2 linked regions of the Saccharomyces cerevisiae S288C genome follow. The protein of the gene in region 1 interacts with the protein of each later gene in a biochemical or structural test. Each region holds a gene or a part of one and is shown in the gene's direction. Other genes may lie near its edges.

Region 1 (3,351 bases):
ATGTTTGAAAAGAACTTAAGCTTGAGCAGCAAAGTATTCTGGGAATTCTCTGATGTTGTTTTCCAAAGAACCCTTCTTGGACAAGAACTTAACGAAAGCACCGTCGTCCTTGACTTCACCAGCTTCTCTCTTCTTCAAGTATTCTGGTCTGTCCAAGTTGGTGAAACCCCACTTCTTAGACAAAATAATCTTTTGTTGACCTGGGAACTTGTATCTGGCTCTTCTCAAACCTTCAACGACAACATCCTTGTTGCTGTCCTTGGTTCTGACAGAGAAGATAATTTGACCAATGTCGACACGAGCGGCCAAACCGTGTGGCTTACCCCAAGCACCTCTCATACCTTGTTGCAATCTATCCGCACCGGCACAAGACAACATCTTGTTGATTCTCAAGACATGGAAAGGATGGACTCTGACTCTTAAGTGGAAAGCATCTCTACCGGAGACAGTAGTCATGTACTTGTTGGCACAGATACGAGCAGCTTCCAAAGCTTCAGAAGACAATTGTTCCAATTCGTTGGAAACCAAATGGACACACAATGGGAATTCATCGACGGTAGCCTTCTTCTTACCCAAATCGTAGATTCTGATCTTGGAGTCTGGAACAGCTCTGTTGTATCTAGACTTTGGGTAAGGCTTGTTCTTTTGGTATCTGTAACATCTAGCTGGTCTTCTAGCCATCTTGAATTAGTTATTTGATATACTGTACTTTAAAGTTTGAAAGTCCCACTCCAAAAGCACTTGCGGAAAGGATGTATAAATGGTTGCTCCACATCAACATCTTTTTATAAACTATTCTCTAGAGAAACCAAACTGACCATCAATTCTGAGATGAAAAGTTTCCTTAGTCAGCATTATTGTGCTAACTAGTTTCGGAGGGAAAAATATCGAAAAAAAAAAACCAAAAAAAAAAATAAAAAAAATGTACGGAGGGAAAAGATGTACAGGTGTAAAAAAGCACCCCACGGAAATAACCGCTACTATAATTTCATTTCTTTTTTTTCTATATCCTGCGGAAAATTTTTTTATACTGACAGGGGAAAAAGCAAATTAATTTTGCTTTTATATATGGAAAGTAGCGGGAGATGAGATGAGGTGAATTGAAAGGCAGTTAAACACACAGACAAGTGAAGATAAAACAATAGCGCATCATGGGTAGATATTCGGTGAAGAGATACAAGACTAAAAGAAGAACACGAGACTTGGACCTGATCTATAACGATTTGTCCACCAAGGAATCAGTACAGAAGCTTCTGAACCAGCCATTGGATGAAACCAAACCGGGCCTTGGTCAGCACTATTGCATACACTGTGCCAAATACATGGAGACTGCTATAGCGTTAAAAACGCATTTAAAGGGCAAAGTGCACAAAAGAAGAGTCAAGGAGTTGAGGGGTGTCCCTTACACACAAGAAGTCTCTGATGCTGCTGCGGGCTACAATTTGAACAAGTTCTTGAACCGTGTACAGGAGATCACGCAATCGGTGGGTCCGGAGAAGGAAAGTAATGAGGCCTTGCTGAAGGAGCATTTGGACAGTACCTTGGCAAACGTCAAAACAACAGAACCTACTCTACCGTGGGCGGCTGCTGATGCCGAGGCGAATACCGCTGCCGTAACAGAGGCAGAGTCTACTGCCTCAGCCAGTACTTAACAGTAAAGTAAAGATCAGAACCAAAAATAGGCATATACACTTTTTATAGTATAACACACTTCCAGTCAACTCGAATCGCTTTTGCCGCGAAACGCAATGAAAAAAAGTACGCAACAAAGAGAAATAATGAAAAAAAAAAGAAAAAATTTTTTCATTGCTAGGCGATGAGCATCGACAGTTTTATACGTAAATCAATGGTTAGATAGATAATATTAATAACATACAAGACAATTTTTGCTTCGATTAAAGTGTTGGCACGAATTATTGTTGCGGTTCACCAACCACTATACATTTTTTCTCTTCCTTCCGCATCTTTATCTGGCCCCGGTAGGTCATGAAGTCTAGTAAGCAATTGGTTCAGGACGCTAAGGATTATCGCTTCAATCCGGCGATACCATTGAGAATTTACCTGAAAACATGCATCGGCATATTGGAAAAGGCACAGTGTGCGTTCCAGGCCAACGACTTGTCGCTGTCGTTTATTTATTATTTTAGATATGTGGATTTATTGACTAACAAACTATCTAGACACCCTGAGCTTTTGCGCATGGATGCGTCGTCGTCATCGTCGTCATCGTATATTCATAAAAGAGAATACCTGCAACTCATAAAGTTGGAAGTGCCTGCGGTCTGCAAAATTATTGAAAGCTTACGCACCCAAATTGATTCTCAATACAGCAAATTGCAAACATCACTCGCTAATAATATAGCCAAGCCGAACATAAACGCAAACACAACTCCCGTGCAGGTGGAGCAACAACCACTGCCGAAGAAATCTTTCGACGAGTATAGCTTCAACCAATCAATTTCTTTTTTCCAGAAAATTTCAAACGCACAACTTAATACCGGAGCAAGCTCTCAGAGTCAGGCCACTGCCCGTGATGAAGCCTACAGACTGAATTATCCGGAGCTACCACGCCTTACATTCTCCACATAGCATCCTTTTTTTTTTTTTTTTTCCATACCATACGAACATACATAACCTTACATACAATATTACATGATTACTCTGTTACAACACGTCTCCCCTTCTTGGTCTTGACCATTGTACTTTGGCTGGTATGTCCAATAGAGTCGCGTGCGCTACAACTTCGTCCTTGTGGGTCATGAGGTTCGTCAGCTTATCCATCTTCTTGTTCAACTTCATTAAATACAGCAGATTTAACACCAAGAGCACCAAGATTATTATGTTCACCCAGTTAAACCTCCATCTGTCGCTGCCTATTTCTGAGATTTCCGCCTCAGCTTCTGGTTTCGACTCCGGCTGTACCATCGTCAGCTCCGGTGCTGCCACTTTCCTAGGTGATCCAAAAGATGTAACACTGGGCAACGGCTTGAGTGTATCTGCTTTTTCTTTGCTCAATTCCACGTATTTCTCTACAAATTCTTCGACTAACTTTACCAAGTCCTTAGTGGCGCTAATTTGTCCATTTTTACAATTGCTCTCTACCATTGGCTTGATCCAACTGGATGCGTTCCAGTCCACCCAAAAACTTATTTTTAATATGCAACCTTGCCCCTGGTCATCCCATCGGAACATGTACCTCGTTCTGGTGCTGAAACTGGTACCACTAGGAACATTTGGTGTTCTTGTTATACTTAAAACATTTATGTACCTTTCCCAGTCGCAGTGTAAAAGAATTTCCGCTACCTCACAGTTTGTGGATTTGGGCCCCACAGGGAAATGCAGCTGTTTGGT
Region 2 (5,192 bases), on another chromosome or scaffold:
TTCCTCGCAGGGATCGCTTATGTACTCACCAAGTGTGGAAGCTTTGCCTATCGACCCTGTCGTCCCGCAAGTTCATGAGACGGGATACAATGATTTTGGTAACAAACATTCTCAAAAAAGTATGCCTGAAGATGAATCTCACACATCACATGATAATAGCAATGCTGATCAAAATACATTAAAAGACTCTGCAGATGTTACAGATGAAACAATGGATATTGAAGGACCTGGCTTCAACGATGTGAAGAATCTTCTTCCTATGGAGCCCAACCACCAGCCTACGTCTACAGTAAATCCTATACAAACTATTAGTGACGATATCCAACCGATTCTTCAAACTAACGTGGAGGTCCGGGGTACTGATGCATCGAAAATGGAAAATTCACTTCCCTCCATTGAAAATGAAAGAAGTAGCGAGGAGCAGCCAGAAAACATTTCAAAATCAGCATCATCAGCATATTTACCATCAACTGGTGGATTGTCACTCGAAAACAGACCGCTAACTCAGGATGAAAACAGTATCTCAGAGACAGTTCAATCCACATACTTGCCAGCAGGAAGTATTTCAATGGAAGCTAAACCAATTTCTCAAGTGCAAGATGTTCCAAGAAATGTTAATAATAAAGCATCCAAACTTGTGGAGCAACATATGGCACCACCAAAGCCAAAAAGTACTGACGCAACCAAAATGAACTACTCACCATACGTGCCTCAATCAACTGCCGCTAGTGCAGATGGCGATGAATCAACGATTCTGAAAACATCGCCTGCTATATATGCAAGAACTCACCAAGCACATGCATCCAATCCATCACAATACTTTCCTTTGGTCAACCAAGCAAATGAAACTGCTTCATTCGAATTATCTGAATCAACATCCCAGGCACAAAGTAATGGAAATGTTGCTTCAGAAAATAGATTCAGCCCAATAAAGAAAGCCGAAGTCGTCGAGAAAGACACTTTTCAACCTACTATTAGGAAGGCTTCAACTAACCAATACAGGGCTTTTAAACCGTTGGAATCAGATGCGGATAAATACAATGACGTTATTGAAGATGAATCCGATGACGACAATATGTCTACTGATGAGGCAAAGAACAGAAAGGAAGAAAAAAAGAATGTGAATATGAAAAAGGAAACAAAACCAAGTAACAAGGACATAGATGACAAGTCTAATGGTTGGTTTGGTTGGTTGAAGAAAGATACTGGCGACAAAAAAGTGTATAAGGCCAAGCTAGGTCATAAAAACACACTATACTATGATGAAAAATTGAAACGTTGGGTGAATAAGGACGCAACCGAAGAGGAAAAACAAAAAATTATTGAAAGTTCGGCACCACCACCTCCTCCAATCGTGAAACGTAAAGATGGCGGCCCAAAGACAAAGCCACGTTCAGGCCCCATCAATAATTCCCTACCTCCAGTACATGCCACATCAGTTATTCCGAACAATCCAATCACTGGTGAGCCTTTGCCGATCAAAACATCCCCTTCTCCTACAGGACCCAATCCAAACAATTCTCCATCACCATCCTCTCCCATATCAAGGATTTCTGGCGTAAACTTGACTAGCAAAAAGGCAAACGGTTTGGATGATTTATTGAGTTTGGCAGGAGGACCCAAACCAGCAAGTACGAGAAGGAAGAAGAAAACAGCGAGAGGCTATGTTAATGTAATGGATAACATACAATAATTATAGTAATACGTTTTTCTTTCATGGTACCCTTATGCCTTCCCTTTTCTTGATGTATATTATATACTTATAAAAACCGTAGTAAATTTTATTAAAACAATGATTACAGGAATCCGTATTTAGGTTATGCATCGTTGTCAGTAAGAAATCAGATGAATGCGATCTGAAACTTTGCTTATACTAATATTATTCTATCATACCTCATTTTCTTGCTTCGATTAATGCAGGACGCCGGTTCCGGGTTAGGATCACCGAGAAACAGAAAGCAAGCAAGGCTTCAGTTACAATTCGAAGAAGTACTAAGGGGGTTGTCGTGGAAAAATCTTGAATCAGAAAGCGGCTGACTGGAGCATTACTAGGTTCATTACTCACTGGTTCTACTCATGAAACCTTACTTATTTGACCTAAAGCTAAAAGACACAGAGAAGCTGGATTGGAAAAAAGGCCTCTCCTCATATCTCAAGAAATCATACGGCTCCTCACAATGGAGAACATTTTATGATGAGAAAGCTACTTCAGAACTGGATCACTTAAGGAATAATGCAAATGGAGAACTAGCACCTTCTTCATTGTCGGAACAAAATCTAAAATATTACTCATTTTTGGAGCATCTTTATTTTCGCCTGGGTAGCAAAGGATCAAGATTAAAAATGGATTTCACTTGGTATGACGCAGAATACTCATCGGCCCAGAAAGGATTGAAATACACGCAACATACGTTAGCATTTGAAAAGTCTTGTACTTTGTTCAACATTGCTGTAATCTTTACCCAAATTGCGAGGGAGAATATCAATGAGGACTACAAAAACTCAATCGCAAATTTGACAAAAGCTTTTTCCTGTTTTGAATATCTATCAGAAAATTTTTTGAACTCACCTTCAGTCGATCTTCAGTCAGAAAACACTAGGTTTCTGGCTAATATTTGCCATGCAGAAGCTCAAGAATTGTTTGTCTTGAAATTATTAAATGATCAAATATCATCCAAGCAATATACATTAATCAGTAAACTTTCTAGAGCCACGTGTAACCTCTTTCAGAAATGTCACGATTTTATGAAAGAAATAGATGACGATGTGGCCATTTATGGTGAACCCAAATGGAAAACGACAGTTACTTGCAAACTGCATTTCTACAAATCGTTAAGCGCTTATTATCACGGTTTACACCTTGAAGAAGAAAATAGAGTTGGCGAAGCAATTGCTTTTCTCGATTTTTCTATGCAACAATTGATTTCATCCCTTCCATTCAAAACGTGGTTAGTGGAATTTATAGACTTTGATGGGTTTAAAGAAACTTTAGAAAAGAAACAAAAGGAGTTGATTAAAGATAACGATTTTATATATCATGAAAGCGTTCCAGCCGTTGTGCAGGTTGATTCCATTAAGGCGCTCGATGCAATAAAATCTCCAACATGGGAGAAGATATTAGAACCATATATGCAAGATGTTGCAAATAAATGTGACTCTTTGTACAGAGGAATTATTCCCCTAGATGTCTATGAAAAGGAAAGTATTTACTCAGAAGAAAAAGCGACGCTGTTGAGAAAGCAAGTTGAAGAAACTGAGACAGCAAATTTGGAATATTCTTCCTTCATCGAATTTACAAATCTACCCAGGCTCTTGAGTGATTTGGAAAAACAATTTAGTGACGGAAATATTTTCTCGAATACGGATACACAGGGACAATTGATGAGGGACCAAATTCAGACATGGTGTAAATTTATCCAAACAAATGAATTTAGGGATATAGAAGAACAGATGAACAAAATTGTTTTCAAAAGGAAACAAATTTTAGAAATCCTTTCTGCCTTACCCAATGATCAAAAAGAAAATGTTACAAAACTAAAATCTTCTTTAGTAGCTGCTTCAAACTCAGACGAAAAATTGTTCGCATGCGTAAAACCACATATTGTCGAGATCAATCTATTGAATGACAATGGAAAAATATGGAAGAAGTTTGACGAATTTAATCGCAATACGCCTCCACAACCTAGCCTATTGGATATCGATGATACCAAAAACGACAAGATATTAGAGTTGTTAAAACAAGTAAAGGGCCATGCGGAAGACTTAAGAACATTGAAAGAGGAACGTTCGAGAAATTTGTCTGAACTAAGAGACGAAATCAACAACGATGATATCACAAAATTATTAATTATTAATAAGGGGAAATCCGATGTTGAGCTCAAAGATTTATTCGAGGTGGAACTGGAGAAATTCGAGCCTTTGAGCACAAGAATAGAGGCGACAATTTACAAACAATCTTCAATGATAGATGACATCAAAGCCAAGCTAGATGAAATTTTTCACCTTTCAAATTTCAAGGATAAATCTTCTGGGGAAGAAAAATTTTTAGAAGATCGTAAGAATTTTTTTGATAAGCTGCAAGAAGCAGTGAAATCATTCAGTATTTTTGCATCCGACTTGCCAAAAGGAATAGAGTTCTATGATTCATTATTCAATATGAGTAGAGACTTAGCAGAAAGAGTGAGAGTTGCAAAGCAGACCGAGGATTCAACAGCTAATTCTCCCGCTCCTCCCCTCCCTCCACTTGATTCTAAAGCGTCTGTCGTTGGGGGTCCTCCATTACTGCCCCAAAAAAGTGCAGCCTTTCAGTCATTATCTAGACAAGGGCTCAATTTAGGGGACCAATTTCAAAATCTCAAAATAAGTGCCGGCAGTGATTTACCTCAAGGACCCGGTATTCCACCAAGAACTTATGAAGCTTCGCCATATGCTGCAACGCCTACTATGGCAGCCCCACCAGTACCACCGAAACAATCGCAAGAGGATATGTACGACTTGAGAAGACGTAAAGCAGTTGAAAACGAAGAACGTGAACTGCAAGAGAATCCTACGTCCTTTTACAATAGACCCTCTGTTTTTGATGAAAATATGTACTCCAAATACAGCAGTTAGGTGCATTTCTTATTTCTTAATTTTATTGTAGCTTTTTTTTTTCAACTAATATGATAATTATATATATACCGGATTTGTTGAAAGCCAGTTTTGCAAGGATAAAGAAACTGCGATTTAGCAAAAGTCCCTTTAATGCTTCTTCCATCTTTGATCTACTTTCTTTTGAGTATTAGGTGTATACCATACACTTTCAGATCCAAAATCAGCCTCGGACATTTTTACAAACGAAATAAGGCCATTATCCATAATAGCGATAATAAAGCTCCGATATCCCGTCTTCAATCTACGATTTTGCTGTATGTGAGGTGGGTACGCCTTTCTCTTCTTTTTCGTGCTAGACTGTGCAGTTTTTTTTTGAAAACTTGCTTTCATAGACGACTCACTTTTTTCAGTTTGAGATTTCGCGCTCCTCTTATGAATATATTCCTTTCGTGGGATATCTTCAACGTAGGAGTTTGTCTCCCAATCGTCATCATCCTCGATTTCGCTTAAAAATTCGAATTTATAATCAAGTGAGGAAAACATAGATCGCAGCTCTTTATAGGTAGGAAAATGCTGAAGATCGTCATTTTTATTGTAAA

What was found.
Region 2: the proteins of RFU1 (region 1) and BRO1 form a complex in vitro, tested with the Saccharomyces cerevisiae proteins (2 studies listed by BioGRID).

The regions. Positions count from the first base shown.
Region 1 is NC_001144.5:280,257-283,607, reverse strand, and holds RFU1 (Rfu1p), read left to right. Parts: upstream 1-1,986; coding exon 1,987-2,589; downstream 2,590-3,351. Other genes in the region: 60S ribosomal protein uL16 RPL10, read right to left, coding at 16-681; BUD20 (Bud20p), read left to right, coding at 1,152-1,652; LAM6 (Lam6p), read right to left, coding at 2,665-3,351. UniProt on the Saccharomyces cerevisiae protein: Inhibitor of the DOA4 deubiquitinase involved in the regulation of protein degradation by the proteasome and maintenance of a normal level of free ubiquitin.
Region 2 is NC_001148.4:391,962-397,153, forward strand, and holds BRO1 (Bro1p), read left to right. Parts: upstream 1-2,076; coding exon 2,077-4,611; downstream 4,612-5,192. Other genes in the region: COPII coat assembly protein SEC16, read left to right, coding at 1-1,693; tRNA splicing endonuclease subunit SEN54, read right to left, coding at 4,741-5,192. UniProt on the Saccharomyces cerevisiae protein: Class E VPS protein involved in concentration and sorting of cargo proteins of the multivesicular body (MVB) for incorporation into intralumenal vesicles. Fusion between endosomes and the vacuole will then target the cargo proteins to the vacuolar lumen.